2 linked regions of the Arabidopsis thaliana genome follow. The protein of the gene in region 1 interacts with the protein of each later gene in a pairwise test. Each region holds a gene or a part of one and is shown in the gene's direction. Other genes may lie near its edges.

The links. Proteins that work in one complex are often made in the same cells at the same time.
Region 2: the proteins of ATG8B (region 1) and AT1G13030 interact in a two-hybrid assay, tested with the Arabidopsis thaliana proteins (one large-scale study listed by BioGRID).

What each region holds. Positions count from the first base shown.
Region 1 is NC_003075.7:2,327,371-2,332,110, reverse strand, and holds ATG8B (Ubiquitin-like superfamily protein), read left to right. Parts: upstream 1-1,520; 5' UTR 1,521-2,051; exon of another isoform or gene 2,052-2,167; 5' UTR 2,168-2,184; coding exon 2,185-2,221; intron 2,222-2,653; coding exon 2,654-2,709; intron 2,710-2,788; coding exon 2,789-2,841; intron 2,842-3,127; coding exon 3,128-3,246; intron 3,247-3,344; coding exon 3,345-3,448; 3' UTR 3,449-3,669; downstream 3,670-4,740. Other genes in the region: AT4G04614 (uncharacterized protein), read left to right, coding at 4,197-4,350, 4,427-4,740. UniProt on the Arabidopsis thaliana protein: Ubiquitin-like modifier involved in autophagosomes formation. May mediate the delivery of the autophagosomes to the vacuole via the microtubule cytoskeleton.
Region 2 is NC_003070.9:4,443,394-4,449,761, reverse strand, and holds AT1G13030 (sphere organelles protein-like protein), read left to right. Parts: upstream 1-2,349; 5' UTR 2,350-2,483; coding exon 2,484-2,681; intron 2,682-2,774; coding exon 2,775-2,839; intron 2,840-2,922; coding exon 2,923-3,183; intron 3,184-3,259; coding exon 3,260-3,433; intron 3,434-3,537; coding exon 3,538-3,604; intron 3,605-3,758; coding exon 3,759-3,836; intron 3,837-3,955; coding exon 3,956-4,142; intron 4,143-4,228; coding exon 4,229-4,269; intron 4,270-4,348; coding exon 4,349-4,540; intron 4,541-4,629; coding exon 4,630-4,701; intron 4,702-4,794; coding exon 4,795-4,944; intron 4,945-5,058; coding exon 5,059-5,209; intron 5,210-5,287; coding exon 5,288-5,478; 3' UTR 5,479-5,719; downstream 5,720-6,368. Other genes in the region: AT1G13040 (Pentatricopeptide repeat (PPR-like) superfamily protein), read right to left, coding at 562-2,115; EIF4B2 (eukaryotic initiation factor 4B2), read left to right, coding at 6,242-6,368. UniProt on the Arabidopsis thaliana protein: Probable component of nuclear coiled bodies, also known as Cajal bodies or CBs, which are involved in the modification and assembly of nucleoplasmic snRNPs. Required for CBs formation.

The sequences.
Region 1 (4,740 bases):
TGGAATATGAATCCCATAACTCTTGTTTAACATTATCATCATGAAAAACTCAACTTTATGGTATCCACATCATCATCATTATCAATGTCATTGTCGTCATCATCATGTGGGGATCACTATACCAAGAGTCTTTTTGTTAAGTTTTTTTTTTCTTTATTGTTGTTATTATTTTTCAATGTGTTATTTAGAGTAGATAAGTATCATAGTGATGATGATGACTTGTCAGCCCCATGCATGGGTCCCGTTTTATGTTCTTCTGTTGTTTTTGGTTTCTCTTTGAAGGTTTTTTTATGATCTTAAATTAGAGCCTAGAGAGGGGCATCTCCTTTAGAACCTTTAATTGGAGTTGAGTTCTTTACCATGTTTTGGTGAAAGATTTTGTCGTTTGCTATCGACAATGTTATATATAAATTAGATATCTTTCTTTCTTTGTTAATATTAGCTATGTCCATCTTTGGCTAATTATGTATTTGGCAAATCTGCTACTAAATATCATTAATTTAGCCGATTTCATGCAAAAATAAATAAGCCCTAAAATGCTGAGTTTCCAATTCTGAAGACATTTTCAACCATATCAATCGATCAATGTCATATATTCACATATCGAAGGTGTACATATAAAGGATTGAATCCATGATTTTCCTTTGAACTCTTTTATGAATAGTTTTGAATGTTTTTTTGTTTGATTATAGTTATAAGATATTTAATAGCGGTGAGTGAACGAGACCAAAAAAAAGGTGATTAAATGTAATAAACTTTAAAACTATGGGATATCGAGAAGAAAATAATGTAACGAGAAAACATCACATTAGACTTCAATAATGCTTTTAAATATAGAAAAAGGATTGATAGTAGAAGCAAAGATTTTTATATTGGTATGATTAGTAGTAAAACAACACGGTAAAAAAAAAACAGTAGGCGAACCAAATAGTTAGATTTTGATTGGTAATCTCGTATGGTTGCAGTATTTTACCGTTCTAAACTTCTAATTATTACTAGTGACGAAAACGTTGAAAAACGAGATTTTTAAAAAAAAGTTGTAACTATTTTTTTTAACAAAAAAAAGTTGTAACTATTTTGGTATTGTTTATTGTTTTTTTTATATACCTAAAACCTCTAACCTTGTTTTTTACCAGTCTTACTTTTGACATAAATAAAAATAGTGGTTAGAAATAGTTTTCAGTTCTGCTGCTTTCTTACCCTTTTTATGTCTTTATGATTGGTAATTTGGTATCAATCGGAACAAACTAAAATTGTTAATTGTAGTCCTTAGTCCTAATAGTTCGGTTATCCATTCGGTTTCAGTTTGTATCTATTCGGTTTCAACTTTTTCGGTTCTAAAGTTTAGTATTCATTTGGTTATTTTGAAAGTTTGATTCGTATCGGTTTTTTCAGTTTTAAAATTTAATATCCATTCTATTATTTTGCTTTGAATATTTTTGGATATTTCGGTTATTTTGGATATTTTCGATCATTTTTGAATATTTTCGGTTATTTTTTCGAGTATTTTTACTATTTTATATATCTTTTCAATTATTTTTAATTATGTAGTCTAAAAATAAATAATATTTAGTATCCATTTAGTTTTGGTTCTTTCGGTTCTTTCATTTATAGAATTTAGTATCCATTCGAATATTTTCCAATTTTTGGTTTGCTTTGATTTAATTAGTTTTGCTTTGATTTTGATTCGGTATATTCGAGTTGGTTTATTTGTCCACGCCTAGTAGTCCTGATCATGTAAATGACAGAAAAGCCCAAACGAGATCCAAACCTATAAAGGCCCAATAAATAGTTCACAAACTCATGACCACTACAATCCAACGACGTCGTATCATCTCGCTGACGTAAGATAAGCATCGTAACTAATTAAAATCCAAGTAATAAGTTTGGGTGCCGTGCAGGTAACAATCACTAAACCCTAAATCCATCCTCTCTGTTTCCTTTATATATATTCTCTCCTTTTTTCATTTTTTTGATCCTCTTCTTCTTCTACAATCAAAATTCATTTTTTTTTCCTCTGATCATCATCGAACCCTAGTTTCGTCTTTTGGGTACGTTTGATTTCGCCTCTCCACTTTGTCAATTTCGAGTTTTTGTGGTTTGGGTTTTTTTCCCGATTTAGCCTAACAGATAAAGTTTCGAGTTTTGTTTCTCTTAATCATCGTAGATACTAACCGAATCATCATGGAGAAGAACTCCTTCAAGCTTTCTAATCCTCTGGGTTAGTTTCCTTGTTTCTTCTTTTTTACTTTTTGCAATTTCTGTAGGGTTTTTGCTTGATTGATGTCACTCGATAAGCGTTTAAAGGATAGTTGTTTACTTCTTTGGTTTTCTTCGATCTTTTGGGCTTTGGATTGTGTTACGATTATGATCTTTGTTAAAGGAACTCAAGTTTTGATTAGCCTGATCACGAGTTTGTTGGTTCTGATTCTCGATCTCTGATATTGGTTACTCTGTTTGTATTCTCCATTGATTTACATTAACACGATTAAGTTATTAGACCTAGTTTGTTGTTGAATCTATAAAGATTTAGTACTTGTGCCTCTGGAATTTTCCTGGAAGTTACTTGAATTACATGTCACTAAGATGTGTTCATGTGTTTGTATAATCCGTTAGTTGTGACTGATTTTTTATGGTTTTGTTTTGGTTTCAGAGATGAGAATGGCTGAGTCTACTCGTATCAGAGCGAAATACCCTGAAAGAGTTCCCGTATGTTTTCTAAACTCTCACTTTACGGAACAAGATTTACAGTGTCACCCTAAGTTTCTAATTAGAGAACTCAATACAGGTGATTGTGGAAAAAGCTGGACAGAGTGATGTTCCTGACATTGACAAGAAGAAGTGAGTAATTTGTTTTACATATTATCTCTATCTCTCTTGTTGGATCATAATGGTATCAAATCACAAATTAGCTTTCAATCTCCTTTGAGTCTAATGGAAATGTGATATGATCCGGTAATCCTTTTAATCACTAGCTGATGAAATTTTGAGTCTAACTATAGTTCTCATTCTTCAAAACTTGTCCCTTGGTACAGTTTAGCAGTTTCTAGATACAGAGATTGAATTGCATAGCATTATTTTTTGCTGGTTTTGATGTTTTTTGCTGACACCTGTTTCTTCTCTTTAGGTATCTTGTACCAGCTGATCTAACCATTGGCCAATTTGTGTACGTTGTGAGGAAAAGAATCAAGCTTGGAGCTGAAAAAGCCATCTTTGTCTTTGTCAAGAACACATTACCACCAACTGGTAAAGGATTTTAACACTTTTTAAACCTTGTGTGAATCTTCTACTTCTATGGTTCATGTATAAATATGGTTTCTCTCTTTTCTGGTTCTTACAAACAGCGGCATTGATGTCTGCAATCTACGAAGAACACAAAGACGAAGACGGGTTTCTCTACATGACATACAGTGGAGAGAACACATTTGGTGGATCTTTCTACTGCTAATTACCTCAGCTTCTACGTCTGATCCTCTTGATGATTGTACATTCTCGTCGACCTTAATAATGTCATTTTACTTTCTTGGTTTAACCTTTTGAGCTCTCTTACTATCTCTTGCATTTGAAGATGGTATTTGAAACAAGATTCTAATTTGACTCTCTAGTTTCTTTGTTTTGTTTCCTCTGCATCTTCTCTATTGCCATTGAATAAAATAACCTCTATAGTAATATCATCATCAACGTTGATAAGTTCGTCTGATCAATTTACTAATTAGCTAAATTGTCTAAACCGAAGAAAAATCCTAAAATTGAATTAACCGAAAAAAACCAAACCAAACCAAGCACAAACCAAAAATTGAATTGGAAAATTCGAGACTTATATTATTCTCTTGGTTCTACGGACATGGACCGAGTATAGCTTCTGATCTTGCGACTGTTGCTGTCTCCGCCGCGAATCGTTCTCCTACCTTCGTCAACTACACCGGCAAGGTACGAAGCTTTTGTTATACTCTAATTAGATTTGTGGTATCTTCGTGAACCTTCAATTCAATTTAGGGTTTCTCAATTCGATTACAAAGATTCGTACTTGATTTGTTTTCGAATTGCTGGACGAGTTTGTCTTATTGGGAAATGATTTTAGTAAATCGTTGAAGAGAAATCAGGAAAGTTGAATACTTTCTCTCTTAAAGTTTTGAGCTTTTTGGATTGTAAAATTGGACTAATGGAGAATTCAATTCTGTGTTAGAGTTGTTATCATGAAGAAAGGTTTGATGCGATGGGATGATGATGATGATGATGATGATGAAGACTCTTCTGAGGAATCATCATCGTCTTCTGCTTCTGATTCAAATGTGGATAATACAGAGATTGGGGAGAAGAAGAAGAAGAGAAAGAGCAAGAAGCCAATAGGTAGGAGAAAAGCTTCATTGTTTTAACTTTGTGAGAGCTCTTTTATGTAACTTTGTTTTTTTTTTTACGGTTGCAGCGAGGTTTGCGAAGAAAGATAAGAAAGCTTTTGACTATGAATCTCTGCAGCAGCATGGTTACAAAGCTGTTGGTCTTTCTGATATTCCTGCTCCCATGGAGAAACAGGATTGGTCATGGACTACGGGAAAGGATAAACAAAGAGTAGAGGAAGTGAAAGAAAGTTATCAAGAACGAGAAGCTACAAGAGCTGCTGCGGTTACTGGTGGCGAGACGATTGCGAATGCGCAGTTGCGGAATGATAGGAAGAATCTCTCTTTTTCACAGAAGGAGAAGAAGAAGAGAGATTTGGGACAAGCAAGTAGAGGCAAGAAT
Region 2 (6,368 bases), on another chromosome or scaffold:
AGCGTGGTGCAAAAAAAAAAGTCCTACAAGCGTACCATTGAAGGAGGAATCCATGCTTCTCATATCAAGTATCAATAATCTTGATGTGCCTAAGCATAATAAAGGAAGATCTTTTTCTCAGTCTAATAAGCTGAGTCCTCAGTCTAATATTTCTGAGGACTTGGTTTAAACTGAGTCAATGTAAGAGAGCTGGTTGTCTTGTTCCATAATCTGACCACAAATAATGATCCTTCGGGAGCATATAATGTCGCTGCAACAGGGACAAGGCAGAGTAGAGTTGGTTCACATTCCAAAGATGTAAGGAATATGAAACGAGTAATAAAAGTCAAGATATAGTTGGTCTACATAAACTATACCACGTATTCGTTTATGTAAAAAAGGAAGGAAATTAGTTTAAACCTGATAGGTTTCTTCTTTCTCTCCGAGCAGCAGCAGGCAACAGTAGAGGCTTTAATAGCTCTGTATCAGCATCTCTGTGTCGCCATAATATTGACTATGATGGCATTTTTGCACAGGAGAGGGCAATTTGGACAACTTTAAAAGTCTATCCCCTTATTATGCCTACGCATCAGCACTCATTGAACAGCTAGCCTTGATGAGTGTATCGGACACATCCCTATCAAGCGTGAATCCTTTATCCATCATCTGATCCCAAACCTTGTAGGCTGCTGATAATTTTTTTCCCCGTATGAGTCCTCCGATAATGAACTTGAAAGTTAATTCATCAGGACAACATTCTTTACCTTTCATGTCCTCAAACAATTTTATAGCTTCAGTTACTCTACCAGACCTGCAGAGGCCACTAATAAGGGAGTTGTATGAAATCGCATCCGGTGTAATTTCGTGCTCTATCATGTCATTAAAAACACCATAAGCCTTGTCCACATTTCCGGATTTACACAAATGGTCCAGGATTGTCGTGTAGAAAATGCGATCTGGTGACAGACCTAACTCTGTCATCTGATCAAGAAGCTTCTTTGCAACGCTAGAGTTACCTTCCCTAAGAAAAGCCTTGATAAGACTCGTGTATGTGACCACATTCATTACCATCCCTTTCTGTCTCATCTCCTCAAAGAGCCTGTAAGCCTTCCTCGTGTTTGACGCCCTACAGAATGTTTCGATCAGAGTACTGTACGAAACGACATCACAAAAACCTCTAGGCTCCATCTCCTTTACCATGAAGTTATAGCACTTATCAGGATGACTAACCCTGCAATGCCGCTTAAGCAACTGGTTATAACTATAAGCATCAAGCTGTATCCCGCTTCTTACCATCTCAGCCATCACCCCTTCCGCTCTCTTCAACATATTGTTATCATAATAATAATTCAACAACACATTGTACGTAACAAGATCCGGCTCACACCCAATCTTACTCATATATGATTTTAAAGCTTCTGCCTTTTCTATTCTACCCGCTTTACAAAACCCACTAATCAACGCATTATACACCACTGTACTAAGCTTAACTCGTGCACTTTTGATCTCCTCCGCCACCATCTCATAAGCCAAATCAACTTTCCGAGCATGACATAACCCAACAACAAGTGCTGCACATGCTTTATTATCCGGACTAACCCCGCTACGAATCATTGCATTCCAAATCTCAACAGCATCAGTAACCTTACCAGCTCTAAATAACCCATTAATAAGTATAGTATAAGATACAACATCAGGTTCCCTACCTCTCTGAACCATACAAAAGAACGTCTGAACAGCAAAACCTACCTTATTCTCTCGACACAACAGATCCAAATAGACATTGAACGCCCAGATATCTGGTATGAATCCAAGGGTTTCCATATCACTCAGTAGAGCGTCAATGAGATCAAATTTTTTAACTTTACATAAACCCGAGATAAACCTTGAGTAAGTGAAGGGGATGAGAGAAAAACCCATGGGCTTCATATCCCAATATATTGCCTCAGCAAGCTCAAATCTAGACTCTCTAACCAAAACCCCGATGAAACGATTATAATCGAAGGAGAAAACTCGGTAGCTTGAGTGACGCATTTCATCGAACACCTGAACAGCGTTGTCAATCATACCTGATTTAACGAGGTTAGCTATACGCGAGCGGTATGCAAGGCGTACTGCGCCCAGCGTCTGATGCATATCAGAGCTCGACGCATATGATCATATCACCGTTGCCTCTTCTTTGTTTCAATGCGGCGACATCAGATCGACGACGACGGCTGGTCTTGAGCTTAAGCTAGAGGGAAAAAAAAAAAAAAAGAAGACGAAGGCTCCAACATTAATTAATCTGAGGCTTTCTTGATATGGGCTTAAATGGGCTTTAAATAAGGCCCAATCATATTTTACTAAAACCTCTCTGTGAACGAGAGTGTTAGGTTTGGCTTTCAGTTTCTCCCCTTCTCCTTCTTCTCCGTCTTTGGAGCTCAACAGGGGTTTAAGGATTTTCTCCGAAAGCTCAAAACTTGAGTGAAATTTCTCTCATTTTACTTATCTGAAGTTCGTCTACGATGGAGGAAGAGAAGGTGAGGGTTCGTCTGGTGTTTGAAGACCGACGGATTCTGAGTAAGTATCAAAAGAAGCAAGGTTTAACACGGAGCTGGGTTGTTCTAAATCGTAAATGTCACCGAACTATATCAGAGTTTTCTGATCATATCTTTCACACATTTAGCCTCTGTGAAGCGTGTCCTCATGGCCTCTCTCTATCTGTACGTTATACTTCTTTGTGCCCTAATTTCAGAGAAATCAAATTTGTCAATGTTGACGCCATTAATGCTTACATTATCTTTCGGGCTTTTCAGATGGAAGGTTTCGTTTTGCCACCTTTCGAGTCCAGCTGTGTATTGAAGGATAAAGATATCGTTTGGTTAGTTTCGTCAATCTCTTAAAGCTTTTTCCTTTGAGCTTTACTAAGTATCATTAGTGTTAAATTTTGCGCTTTTTGTGTAGTGTTAAGAAGAAGAAAGAGTCTTTGTTGGAGATTGTTGGGGAAGACAGTGATGAGAATGTTTACAACGCTATTGAGGTTGAGGAAAGGCCTCAGATTCGTCCTGGTGAAATGCTGCTTGCTAATGAGGAATTCCAGAAGGAAACTGGAGGATATGAAAGTGAGTCTGAGGAAGATGAGCTTGAAGAGGAAGCAGAAGAGTTTGTGCCAGAGAAGAAGGCTTCGAAGAAACGTAAAACTTCAAGCAAAAACCAGAGCACCAAGTAGGATCTCTACGAAAACTTATTCTTAGTCACCTAAATGTCTATTTGTTGTTATTCAAGTTTGAAGATAATGTAGGAGGAAGAAGTGTAAGTTAGATACTACTGAAGAATCTCCCGACGAAAGAGAAAACACAGCTGTTGTTAGCAATGTTGTGAAGAAGAAGAAGAAGAAGAAATCATTGGATGTACAAAGTGCTAACAATGATGAACAGAATAACGATAGTACCAAACCCATGACCAAATCAAAGAGGTACGTAGACTTTTGCTTTGTCAAAACTCGCTTGTGAATCTTTAATCCTCTTGAATTATCTCTAACTAGTCATTTTTTCCATTTTCTTGCTTTTGTGATTGCAGGTCATCACAACAAGAAGAGAGCAAAGAGCATAACGATCTGTGCCAACTATCTGCTGAAACTAAAAAGGTTTGAGTTTACTTAGTTGTTGCAAGGAATTAGAATGAACAATATGTGTAGAGTGTAAAATTCCTTGATGTTTGTAGATGCAGGGATTGGCTTTTGTTTCACTTACTCATTTAGCTTCCTATCAGTCCTTCACTCTTCCTTATTTTTATTTTAGACACCTAGCAGAAGTGCCCGACGTAAAAAGGCGAAACGGCAATGGCTGAGAGAGAAAACAAAACTAGAGAAGGAAGAGGTTCTTCATCAAATACTTTAAACTTAAAATGATAAGATTTATGTATGCATCACGTGTTTTAGTGATGTACAGCCTGCGCTTCAACACTTATATCTTCTTTATTGTTACATGATTTGCAGCTTCTACAGACGCAGTTGGTTGTAGCACCCAGCCAAAAACCAGTCATCACTATAGATCACCAAGCAACCAAGGAAAAGCACTGTGAAACTCTTGAAAATCAACAGGCAGAAGAAGTTAGTGATGGTTTCGGGGATGAAGTTGTACCTGTGGAAGTGAGGCCAGGCCACATACGCTTCAAGCCTCTCGGTAAATTATTATGTAAATTTCTCTCTGTATAGCTTTTGTGCGTTTGCAAGGCTCCTCACAGTTTCCCTTATATGCTTATTTTTCAGCTGGAACAGATGAAGCCTCTCTTGATAGTGAACCTCTTGTGGTATGACTTGACCCTATGTTTGTATCCTTAAAGCTTTGCCTAAGCTGAATCTGTAATGATTATGTCTAAATAATATTAGGAAAATGTCTTGTGGAATGGAAACATGACGAAGAAGAAGGGACAGAAATGGGGCACAGAGAAGTCAGGGTTTTCCAAACGATATGCTCAGGATTTTAATGAAGATGCTACGACACAGCCCGCTGAAGCAGAGACACTTGCTAATTGTCCGATTGATTATGAACAGCTTGTGGCTTACACTGGCTCAGTAAAGGTTTGTTTATAGTCTTTACTACCCCCAGCAGGTTGTTTATAGATTCAGCATTTTTAAACTCCTTAACTCCTGGTTTGTTAACTTTACAGAAAGGAGATGTTATTGCATACCGCCTCATTGAGTTAACATCATCTTGGACACCCGAGGTTTCCTCTTTTCGGGTAAAATTTCTGGCTCTCCTTTTAAGCCAAATTCGATCAATCAACGCTTATTCTGAGGAACTTATCCACTTTACAATATACTTCTTTTGATAGGTTGGGAAGATAAGCTACTATGATCCAGACTCCAAGATGGTGACTTTGATGCCTGTTCAAGAATTTCCAATCGAGAAAAAGACAGAAGAGGACGACGATTTCTGTATGCAACCTGATACATCTCTTTATAAAGAAGATGGATCCCTGGAGGTATGCTTCATGGTTTACATTATGTCATACATATCTTATGAACAAGAACATTCTTGTAGTTGTTTGCTTGCTAAGCATCAGAATTCTAATATAAGAAAGACTTTGCTTCTGCAGATAGAATTTTCTGCTCTGCTCGATGTTCGCAGTGTCAAAACTAGCAGCTCAGATTCTGCAGAAGTCGCCAAGTCAGCACTGCCCGAGCCTGACCAGTCAGCTAAAAAGCCAAAGCTAAGCGCAAACAAAGAATTGCAAACCCCTGCAAAAGGTAAATTTTCCATCAATCTTGGATCGACATTGTATTGAAATAGATGGAGTCTTATCTACTTTCATTGGAATATTGCAGAAAATGGAGAAGTGAGCCCTTGGGAAGAACTAAGTGAAGCTTTAAGTGCAAAGAAAGCAGCGTTGTCTCAGGCCAACAATGGGTGGAACAAGAAAGGGAGTTCAAGTGGAGGCTCATGGTCTTACAAGGCACTGCGAGGCAGTGCTATGGGTCCTGTAATGAACTATCTCAGATCTCAGAAAGAGATTTGAGAAACTAGGTCACATCTCTCTAGAAGAAACTCTGCTGCTTTTGTCTTCATTTTGGATATGAAAAACTCAGACAAAGGGTAGAGAAAGCCATTTTGTTTTTGATGCTGTAAACGCACAGTTTAGCTTTCTAAGGTTAAAGGTTTATGTATAGAGAAAAACGATGAATGTGTAATACTCTCTCAAGATCTTTTTGAATTTCACGTTTGAATCCATTCAAAAATCTGAAAAATGAATGTGTTATATATCATATCCATTTATGTCTTCATTTTCTATAATCACCCGATTTAAAGAAATGGATGCAATGTATATGTTTTGAAGTTGGTGGGAAAAACAAAGATAAATAATTTGATAAGAATTGGCTAAAAACAAAGACTCATGACCGTTCGTTTCCTGTACAAGTCAACCGTCACTTGCTAACACGTCGCGTGAACCACAACGGCACAACGTTCAAGCCATTAACTTCCTCGTAAAACTGATTTCTACGTGTACCACACGCTCCAATACGTCGCGTATTGCTATCTCTCTTTCTCCGTCCATTGCTCCTCCGTTCCGAAACCTACAAACAAACCAGCTTCACAAGGAAATAAATCGATTTTTACATATAAAAAATTTCATCTTTAGGCGACGACGAGAGAATCTTTAGATTCGATTTCTCACTCGGAGCTACTTTGAATTGGAATCTTTAGATTCGTCACTCTCAATTTCTGTCCTGCGTTTTTCAGATCTGGGGGAATCTCCGAATTTGGAATTGGAAAATTCACAGATGTCGAAACCTTGGGGTGGAATCGGCGCATGGGCTGATGAGGCTGAGCGTGCCGATGAAGAGCAAGCTGCTGAAGCTACAGCCACGGCGGCAGATTCACAGAGTTTCCCGAGTCTGAAAGAGGCTG